Linked DNA regions of Caenorhabditis elegans. The protein of the gene in region 1 interacts with the protein of each later gene in a pairwise test. Each region holds a gene or a part of one and is shown on either strand. Other genes may lie near its edges. The genes, in order: ima-3 and cebp-1.

Region 1 (5,312 bases):
ACAACGGGAATTCCCGTTTCCGCGAAAACACCCAAAAAACGGGACAACGGGACATCCCGTTCCCGTGAAAATGACAAAAACGGGACAGCGGGAATTCCCGTTCCCGTGAAAATTTTAAAAACGGGACAACGGGAATTCCCGTTCCCGTGAAAACACCCCAAAAACGGGACAACGGGACAAACGGAACACGGGAATTGACATCCTTGCTTGTGATGGGATTGGAATCGGACAAAATCAAATGCAAGGTCGCAATCATGGCTGAAATTAAGAGTAGAGGGAATCTGAAAAGCTCCCGAAAAATTTTTGAATCAGCTGCAGCAAAATTTCCGAACTGCCAGTAAGACAACATTTTTTAATCAATTTTTTTGAAACTGACTTACTTTCAGAGCTATAATAACCGGACGAGTCATTGTAGAAGAGAACGCAAATCGCGGTGCTGAGGCTGAAAAGCTTACCCGTGATTTTATCACCAAAAATACTGACGTCAGCGGAGATGAGTTGATAAAATTTATCAACTACATGGAGACCTACGATTCCAAGTTTGGTTTAAAGGTAAGCCTGTAAAACACTGAAAAATGTTAAACGAATTATATTATAACTATATTCTTCGCAATAGTGATTCAAATTGAACCATTTCAGGCTGCAATTCAAGTTGCAAAGGACAATCTTCCATGGGCCGGCGAAGAGAACATAGACCAATGGGTCAACTGGGTCAACCTACTGATTAGTCTGAAAAGTTTCAAAAGTTCCAAACTTTTCTGTGAACACGGCATGCCAGCAGCGTTGGGGAGTGTATCTTTTCTTAAGTTTTTCAATAGATCTTTGCGAAAACTGTAACAGGATCGACACTGACCGAAGCAGATCAGGTGTTCTCCTGGATCCAGGAACACAACAAGAAATTGCGGGAAAAGACGGCTAATGTAAGTTTTTCGGACTAGAAAATACTCCTGGTTTTTTGTTCAAAAGTATTATATCAAATGCATTTGATGCAAATGCAAATGCAAATGTAACCATAAATATCATTATTTTTCAGGTGGTGCAGGATGAGAGCGGCGACGAGTAGGATGCAATCACAAAATTTATTGCTTTATAATTTTTATAAAATCCGCTGTTATTAATATTGTAAAGAATGTTGAGTAAATAAATTTATTATTTAAAATTTTTTGTTAAAAGAGCTTGGTACCCAAATGTATTTAAAATTGCCATATTTTGAAACCATTTGAAGCGAAGTTTGACATTTTAATCAGACATTGTTTTTTGTTCTTAATATCTTTAACATTTACACGTTTTCCTTTTTTTAAAGAAGATCCATCCAAAAACTCCGGAGCTTCTTTTCCCTAGTTTTAAAATCTACGAGTGAGACCTCTTATCTGCCAATACGCTCTATTGTGTGCGTTGCGTGTCAACCGCGACGCTTCTGCGACATATTTTGTCTCGTTATCGACTATAATTTTTCCCCAATCCTACTGAAATCTTTCCATCTTACATGTAATTCATTGGATTTTATTTAAAAATTTCTGTTAAAGTTTCTCAATATCGCTCTTTTCTTATTTTAAATAATTAAGCTGTAATCTTAGATACTTTTTGTGTTGCGAAATCTCTGATAGAAAGTTCCGCAGTTTTTAAACGTTTTTTGTTGCTTTTTACTTGCGCTACTATTCATTTATCAAGTTTTTTTCTTTCAGCAGAATGAGTTCAAACAGACAGGCTTATTATAAGAACAATGCCAAAGAGCAAATTGGCAAGGAAAAAAGGAACGAAGAAGTAAGTTCGATAAACTTGTTAACGCATACATTATTCAATTTTAAGGTGGTTTCGATCAGAAAGGATAAACGAGAGGAGGCAATTTCCAAACGGCGTAATATCAATACCCAAATTGAGTGAGTTTTTCATCTGATTTTATATGCTTCAGCTATGAGAGCTAACAAAAGTGTTTCATACGCTTATCACAGTAAATTATCTGTTCCAGTTTTTGAATTGTTTTAATTTTCAGAGATGATTCTGAGACTTCAACAACCCCACCAGGTCCATTTGATGCCAACCTCCTCCGGTTGACAGTCGCTGCTGCCCAATCGAGCGATCCCGCTGAGCAGCTGACTGCTGTTCAACAAGCCCGTAAAATGCTATCAACTGATAGAAATCCACCAATTGATGACTTGATTGGCAGTGGGATTTTGCCTGTCCTCGTTCAATGCTTGTCCAGCACGGAGTAAGAATTTTCATAAGGTCGCATCAAATTACTGTAAATTTTCAGTCCAAACTTGCAATTTGAAGCTGCATGGGCCCTTACCAACATAGCATCTGGTACATCAGAGCAAACACAAGCCGTCGTGAATGCCGGAGCCGTTCCTCTCTTCCTGCAACTCCTGTCATGTGGAAATCTGAACGTTTGCGAGCAATCTGTCTGGGCTCTTGGTAACATCATTGGAGATGGACCACATTTCCGTGATTATTGTCTCGAACTCGGAATTCTCCAGCCACTATTGCAGTTCATTAACCCGGAGATACCTATTGGCTTCTTGAGAAATGTCACATGGGTTATTGTCAATCTCTGCAGGTGCAAAGATCCGGCACCAAGCCCAGCTGTGGTTCGTACGATTCTTCCCGCCCTCTCACTTTTGATCCATCACCAAGACACCAACATCCTCATAGACACCGTTTGGGCCCTTTCTTACCTCACCGACGGTGGAAATGAACACATTCAAATGGTTATCGAAGCTCAAGTTGTTACCCATCTCGTTCCACTCCTTGGACACGTTGATGTTAAAGTTCAAACAGCAGCACTTCGAGCTGTAGGAAATATTGTGACTGGAACCGACGAACAAACACAACTTGTGTTGGATAGCGGAGTAAAAATTTTCATTTATGACTTTTCCAAATCTTAAATTTCAGGTTCTTCGGTTTATGCCAGGACTTCTCGCCCACTACAAAGAGAAAATAAACAAAGAGGCTGTTTGGTTTGTCTCCAACATAACTGCTGGAAACCAACAACAAGTTCAAGACGTATTCGACGCCGGAATCATGCCAATGATTATTCATCTTCTTGATCGAGGAGATTTCCCAACTCAAAAAGAGGCAGCGTGGGCTATTTCCAACGTTACAATCTCTGGCCGTCCAAATCAAGTTGAGCAAATGGTAAAGCTTGGTGTCCTTCGTCCTTTCTGTGCGATGCTCAGTTGCACTGATTCGCAGATTATCCAAGTAGTGCTTGATGGAATTAACAACATTCTGAAAATGGCTGGAGAAGCTGCCGAACAGGTGACATCAGAGATTGAAGAGTGCGGAGGTCTTGACAAGATAGAAAATCTTCAAAATCATGAAAACGAGGACATTTACAAACTGGCTTTCGAAATTATCGATAACTTCTTCAGGTAGGAGTCCAATTATATTTGATAAAAATCTTCAGAGTCCGTGTGCGAATGTTTGGTGTATACGTTTTTATATTTTCAGTTCCGATGATGAGACTGGCAACGTGGAAGGAGCTCAAAGTTCTGCTTTTGGAGGCGACGTTCCACCAGTTCCTGATGCTCCAAACGGAGGATGGAACTTTGGAAAGTAGATCTCCATGATTCCTTTAATCACAAAATACGTTTTGTCTTATTTCTCGTAAACAATTTCGCATGCCGTTCCCATACAAATGTTCATGTAGTTTTCGTCTTACTATTTTTCACACCTCACTTTTTGTTAGGTTCTCGTGTATTTTCATCTGACACGCGAGTTCCTAAGCCAGCTTCTCGGAAATGCAAGCTCTCTTTCATGTGAGATTTTGCACTTTTTGACCAATTGAGTTTGCACGTTCTTCTACAATCGATTGTCAATTATCTCATCCTTTCTTTATCTCTTCGTTGTTTCTGTACCATCAGTGATTTGATTAACATTTCACTTTTTCATCCACCATCTTTTTTCCATTGTGATTAATTAGTTACAATGTCCCCGCCCTCTTCTTCGTGTGTGCGAGAGTGACTGTTTTATGATAATATATTTCGATTTCTTTTTAAAGTGAGTGTGTGAGTTGTGCATTTTTGTTGAGTTTTGTTTTCATTTTTGTTTCCCATTCGCGCCCGTTCATTGCCCGCGTCCCCCACCCTCATCCTTTTATCATTGTTACCGCGTCGTTTTCAAATCTCTCATCATTTTTCCCAGTCCCTCCAATCCCCACGGTCCCCAGATTTTCTCTCTAAAAGCGAGTATTTTCATTTTCTTCACATGTTACTTTTATTAATTCTTTATCATATACATAATTTCAATTTCTTAGAACTTCTGATCCCCCTAGTTTGCTCATTTCCTAGTCATCCATCATCATTCTCGATTTCATTAGTTCTCGGAGAATCTCGTTGATAGGCCAAAAATTCCAATCACCCTGCTCCTCTTAGTTCTCGTGGACTCCAGTATTCTTTTTCTTGAAACCCCACCCATCCCGTAAGGCCTTTTTAAAGGTATATCGAGCCGTCCCTCTTCTCATCATCCATCTTCTTTTCTCATTTTCCCTCTCATCTTCCTCATCCCATTTTCCTTTCTCCCGTTTTGCTATTCTCGATTGTCTCGACTGACTGGCCAATATTCCCTTTACCTGGTGTGTGCTCTCATAATAAATAAATCAAATTTATTTGTTAAAAGTTGTTGTAAAACGAAACAATAATACACGATTTTCATTTATTTCATGACAAACTCAAATTTTCCGGTTTCTTCCAACAGTGAGCAAAGTTGTTCGGGGTCCACATTATGTTGAAGAGAAAGTTCGTCAATTGAAGTTTTTCCATTACACCGTTTCAGGAGACTTAAAATTGTATATTATTAGATAGTATTAATTGATTAACTTACGTGTTGTTGCCTGGGTTTGCAACACAAATAGGATATTTAGAAAGTTTACGAAGAAACTGATGATGCATTCCAAATTGTACAAGTCGCTGTTCATCAATACCCATCGATCTTGGTTTCTCCAGATCGGCCCATTCTGCTAGATTGTTGCCGCACTGAAAACGTAGTCGATTGCTATCAGATTCGTCGATCGGAAGTTTAGGTCCCACCACTTTCATGCTCAAATAAAGTCGGAACACATCCGAAAATTCTGGAGTTCGCGTTGGAATTTCTGAGCCGTCTGCACCGATTTCCGTTTGAATTTTCACAAACTCAAGGCAGTCATTGATTTCCGTTTGATTTTTGTAAAAGTCGTGAACTCTTTCAGTTGCCACATATGTATTATAGTAGAGAAACATTGGAACAAGACTGACACATTCGTAGAAGTGTAAATTACGAACACATCTGGCGACGAGGGATGGATCAAGTTCGAGAATAATAGCAATCTCTCGAAC
Region 2 (3,924 bases), on another chromosome or scaffold:
CGATTTGCCGAATTTGCCGACAAATCGGTAATTTGCCAAAAATTTTCGGCAAATTGTGGTTTTGCACTTATTTTTTGGAATTTCAATTTCAAATGGCAAAATTAAACGCATCATATGAATTTTCCTATATCTATTTTGAGAAGTACGCATATTCTATAAAAAATATGTAGAAAAAACGAGAAAAATTCGAAAATAGACAGTGTTAAGTGCTTCCGTCTTATAAAAAACCCCTTTAAACATTTCAGGCAAATCTGGTATCCGGCAAATCGGCAAGTCGGCAACTTGCCGTAAATTAAAATTTCCGGCAAATCGGCAAACCGGCATATCGCCGGAATTGGAAATTTCCGGCAAATCGGCTAATAGCCGGTTTGCCGATTTGCCGATTTGCCGAATTTGTCGACAAATCAATTTACCGAACGGCAATTGCCGCCCAGCCCTGATATAGACTATCAAAGTCATATGATTTTTATCGATGCACCATGTTTAGTTATTACTCTTTCAGTATAGCTCTCTAACTTGAGAAACTTGTATTTGTTTTTGTCACATTTTCTATAATTTTGTAGTAAAGAATAAATTTATACCTTGAAAACAATATTTTGGTTGTTTTTGATTTCGGTAATAAATTGTCAACAATTGACAAAATACTTTTTTATCACATTTTTCGAATTTTGTAGTCAAAAATAAGTTTAGAACTAAAATCGTGCCAACACATGGACTGTCAAGTTCATATGATTCTTGTCGATGCACCATGTATTAAAATCACTTTAGTATTGCACTCTAACTTGAACAGCTTATAACTTGGTTGTTTTTGAGATTTTCAGAAAATTTTCAATTGAAAAAATTCTTATTATTACGTTTTCTAGCGGTTTGAAGTTGAAAATTTATAGTTTTTCAAAAAAATAGGAATATTTACCAGCAAGGATCTAGAATGGGAACTGTGATCCCAATCGATGCACGATGAGCAATAGTTTTTGTTGAGCCGTTACCTTCTAACTGAACAGATGTTGAATGAATTTATAACAATTTGCCAACTAACATAGTATTTGTTTTATAGTTTTTTAACTAAAAATGATTATTTTATGGCTACCAGTCGAAGTGTGTAGCCGATGCACCATGTTCAAATTTGGAACAATTCTATTTAGTTTGTTCTTTTTTCTCTCTCTCTCCTACAATCTCCATTTTCCCCCACGACAGTTTTTCATGACTTTGCAGTATGCATGACATGTATGACTCACAGTCCAGTTCCCTCGGTTTCTCTGCGTCTTTCCCAGCAAACAACAAAACCACTCGCGCTTCTCCCATTCCTCTCGCCCCGCATAGTGTGCAGCGGGAAGAGACGCAGAGGCGGCGTTGTGACTCATCGCAAGCTCTGCGTCTCCTGTCCCCTCCTCTCTTCTCACAACACAACATTGCCGCCGATTTCGCAATACTTTGCGCCCTGCCTCCTAGCGTCGGTATTCATCCATCTCCTTGGAGTCTAATTGTACACAACTCGCCCCGCCCATGGCTATAAGTCGACGTGGAAAAAAGTGTCGGGGTTTGTCATTTCGCAATCCGGAGACGGTTGGGTCTGGTGGAGGGCTCCTCGAGCTGGTTTGAGTATTTTGTAGTGTTAGAAGCCGATTTCTATGTTGATAATCCTTCTTCTTAAATTAGCAGTTACATAGTCATTTGTGATGTCGATTTCCTTTCTGACAATTTTTCAACTTTATAGACAATTTAAATATCTATTTTTTATCCATTTTCTAGTGTTGGAGCAAGTCTAAAAGTTTGAGTTATCGTTTCTAAAATCTGTAAGAAATGTAACCTTTTTAGTTTATTTTATTCACACTCCCATTTGATAACTACTGATAACCTTCTGGGTGTGTCCCATAGCGCTTGCTCACCCTTATGCAGCTGGTTGCTAAATTCGGCGGCAATGACGTCATCATTTCACTTTTCTCATTTTTCCTCCTTGCTTTCTCTGTTTCTCTTTTTATTTCTCATCGCCTCTCACCGAGAACATTCGAAACCTTTTCGCAAACTGTTTGCTCTTATTTCTCTTTAACTTCTCTTTAAGTTTAGTGTATTTTTTTCAGAATAAAGAAAATGTATAGCAAGCTGAACTACAGCCACCAAAAGGGCGACCAGGCCCTCAAGCATCCACACCTGGTAAGACTCCAGCAATCCGAGGTACGTGGGTTCACTGACATGCCGAACAACGGAGCTTCCACCTCCTCCGCCGGATCCTTCGCAAGACAAGTAAGTGGATAAAGTGCTCTTGCTCACTCTTAGTCATCGATATTTTCAGGACTCTCTTACCATTGCCGCATCCCTCCAGCAACGTGACCGCGAACGCCATCCAGTGGACTTTATGGAAACTGAGCTGGACCTTGGCGACTACCTGCAAGTGCTCCACGATCTTGACGTTCCTACCGACAATGTGGATTTTGATGATGCCGAGCTCCAAAAGTGCAACATCCTTTACGACGGAGAGCATCCTTACGAACAACCGGAGCTGAACGGATATGAGCGCCACGTGGCGTACGGCACTGGCTATCGAGTGCCTGGGGATTATGATCAGGATGGGTACAAGATGAATTGTGAAGTGAAAGCTGAGACACCGGATTTCGGAGCTACCAAGACCCGCCGAGCTGTCAAACGCCCAGTTCCTTATGACGATTACCAGAAGGAATACTCGGAGGAGTCCAGCGATATGACGGATAACGACGGAAGCGTTGACGACTCCTACTTTGAGCCAAAGAGCAAGAAAACTAAATCCGCCGGACTGGAAAACTTCAAGCCACAGACCAGAGCAAGAAAGTACAAACTCAAGGCAGACGAGGAGAAGGCTGAGCCGACCTACAAATTGAAAAGAGCCCGGAACAATGATGCCGTCAGAAAATCGCGTAAAAAGGCAAAGGAGCTCCAGGACAAGAAGGAAGCCGAGCACGACAAGATGAAGAGGCGCATCGCCGAGCTTGAAGGGCTCCTCCAGTCCGAGCGTGACGCCAGACGTCGGGACCAGGACACCTTGGAGCAGCTTCTCAGGAATAAGTGAGTCAGAATAAAACCCTTAGTGTTTCTCAACGATTTGTAATTTCAGAGGCCCGATGAAAGAGCAACGCATGCCCCAACGCCACATCCTCGAGAACTTCAACAAGTAACCTGCAGCTTCATCAATTAACCAATCAATAATTTAGACACCTAGGATCCTCATATTTATTCCACGGCATTCTCCCCCCATCATTCCAGTGACCCCCCCCCCCCCCCCCCCTTCATTGATCCCAATCTAGTCTCCCAGTGTAAAACAAGCATCAAACCGTACATAATTCTATTCCATCTCTCTCCCTTCCCCCCAAAGCTGAGCTTTCATCTGTTCCCCCCGTTTACTTGCTGGCAAGTTATTTTGTTACTTAGTTGTGAAACTTGAAATTTCCTATATTTTGAGAGTTGCTCGCAGAGCCTCTTGCGCTTCAAAGTCCAATAACTCGAAATTGGCTGGAAAATTTTCCTTAACTTCCTTTCAACACCACGTAGCAAAAAACCAGATCCTCTTCCAATCCCTACACCACTGGTAATGTTTCCCCTTCCAGTCAACTAGTGCATTTTTTGTCTGAAAACCTATCCCCCCTGAACATGTGTTAACTAATTTTGCCTTGATAATTTCAAATTCGCTTTATTATTTTTGCCTTTTTTCTATTGTTTTTTTCTTTTTGATCGCTGATTTTATCTAAATAGAAATAAATTCATCAGTGCTCAAAAAATTTACATTTAGGATTCCAAATTCTATAGTCAAAAATTTCAAAAATTTCAAAAATATATAAATATATTGCGGTGGGGGGCTTGACTAGCCAGGGGTTGTGCTACATATAATAATACAATTTTACAGAGATTTGAGATAATAATTATGATAATGCCAGATGGCTCAGCTGATGCTCTGGA

What was found.
Region 2: the proteins of ima-3 (region 1) and cebp-1 interact in a two-hybrid assay, tested with the Caenorhabditis elegans proteins (one study listed by BioGRID).

Annotation. Positions count from the first base shown.
Region 1 is NC_003282.8:7,558,038-7,563,349, reverse strand, and holds ima-3 (Importin subunit alpha-3), read left to right. Parts: upstream 1-1,685; 5' UTR 1,686-1,689; coding exon 1,690-1,764; intron 1,765-1,809; coding exon 1,810-1,880; intron 1,881-1,993; coding exon 1,994-2,209; intron 2,210-2,254; coding exon 2,255-2,849; intron 2,850-2,892; coding exon 2,893-3,371; intron 3,372-3,450; coding exon 3,451-3,559; 3' UTR 3,560-4,609; downstream 4,610-5,312. Other genes in the region: F32E10.9 (TPR_REGION domain-containing protein), read left to right, coding at 213-337, 387-552, 640-837; nprl-2 (Nitrogen permease regulator 2), read right to left, coding at 4,654-4,777, 4,822-5,312. UniProt on the Caenorhabditis elegans protein: Binds specifically and directly to substrates containing either a simple or bipartite NLS motif. Promotes docking of import substrates to the nuclear envelope. Seems to act as a cytosolic receptor for both simple and bipartite NLS motifs.
Region 2 is NC_003284.9:1,452,023-1,455,946, reverse strand, and holds cebp-1 (CCAAT/enhancer-binding protein homolog 1), read left to right. Parts: upstream 1-2,078; 5' UTR 2,079-2,088; coding exon 2,089-2,241; intron 2,242-2,290; coding exon 2,291-3,036; intron 3,037-3,085; coding exon 3,086-3,146; 3' UTR 3,147-3,252; downstream 3,253-3,924. Other genes in the region: W05H7.1 (uncharacterized protein), read right to left, coding at 3,908-3,924. UniProt on the Caenorhabditis elegans protein: Transcription factor. Binds to promoter regions of target genes, perhaps at the motif 5'-[AGCT]TT[AGT][TC]GAAA[ACT]-3'.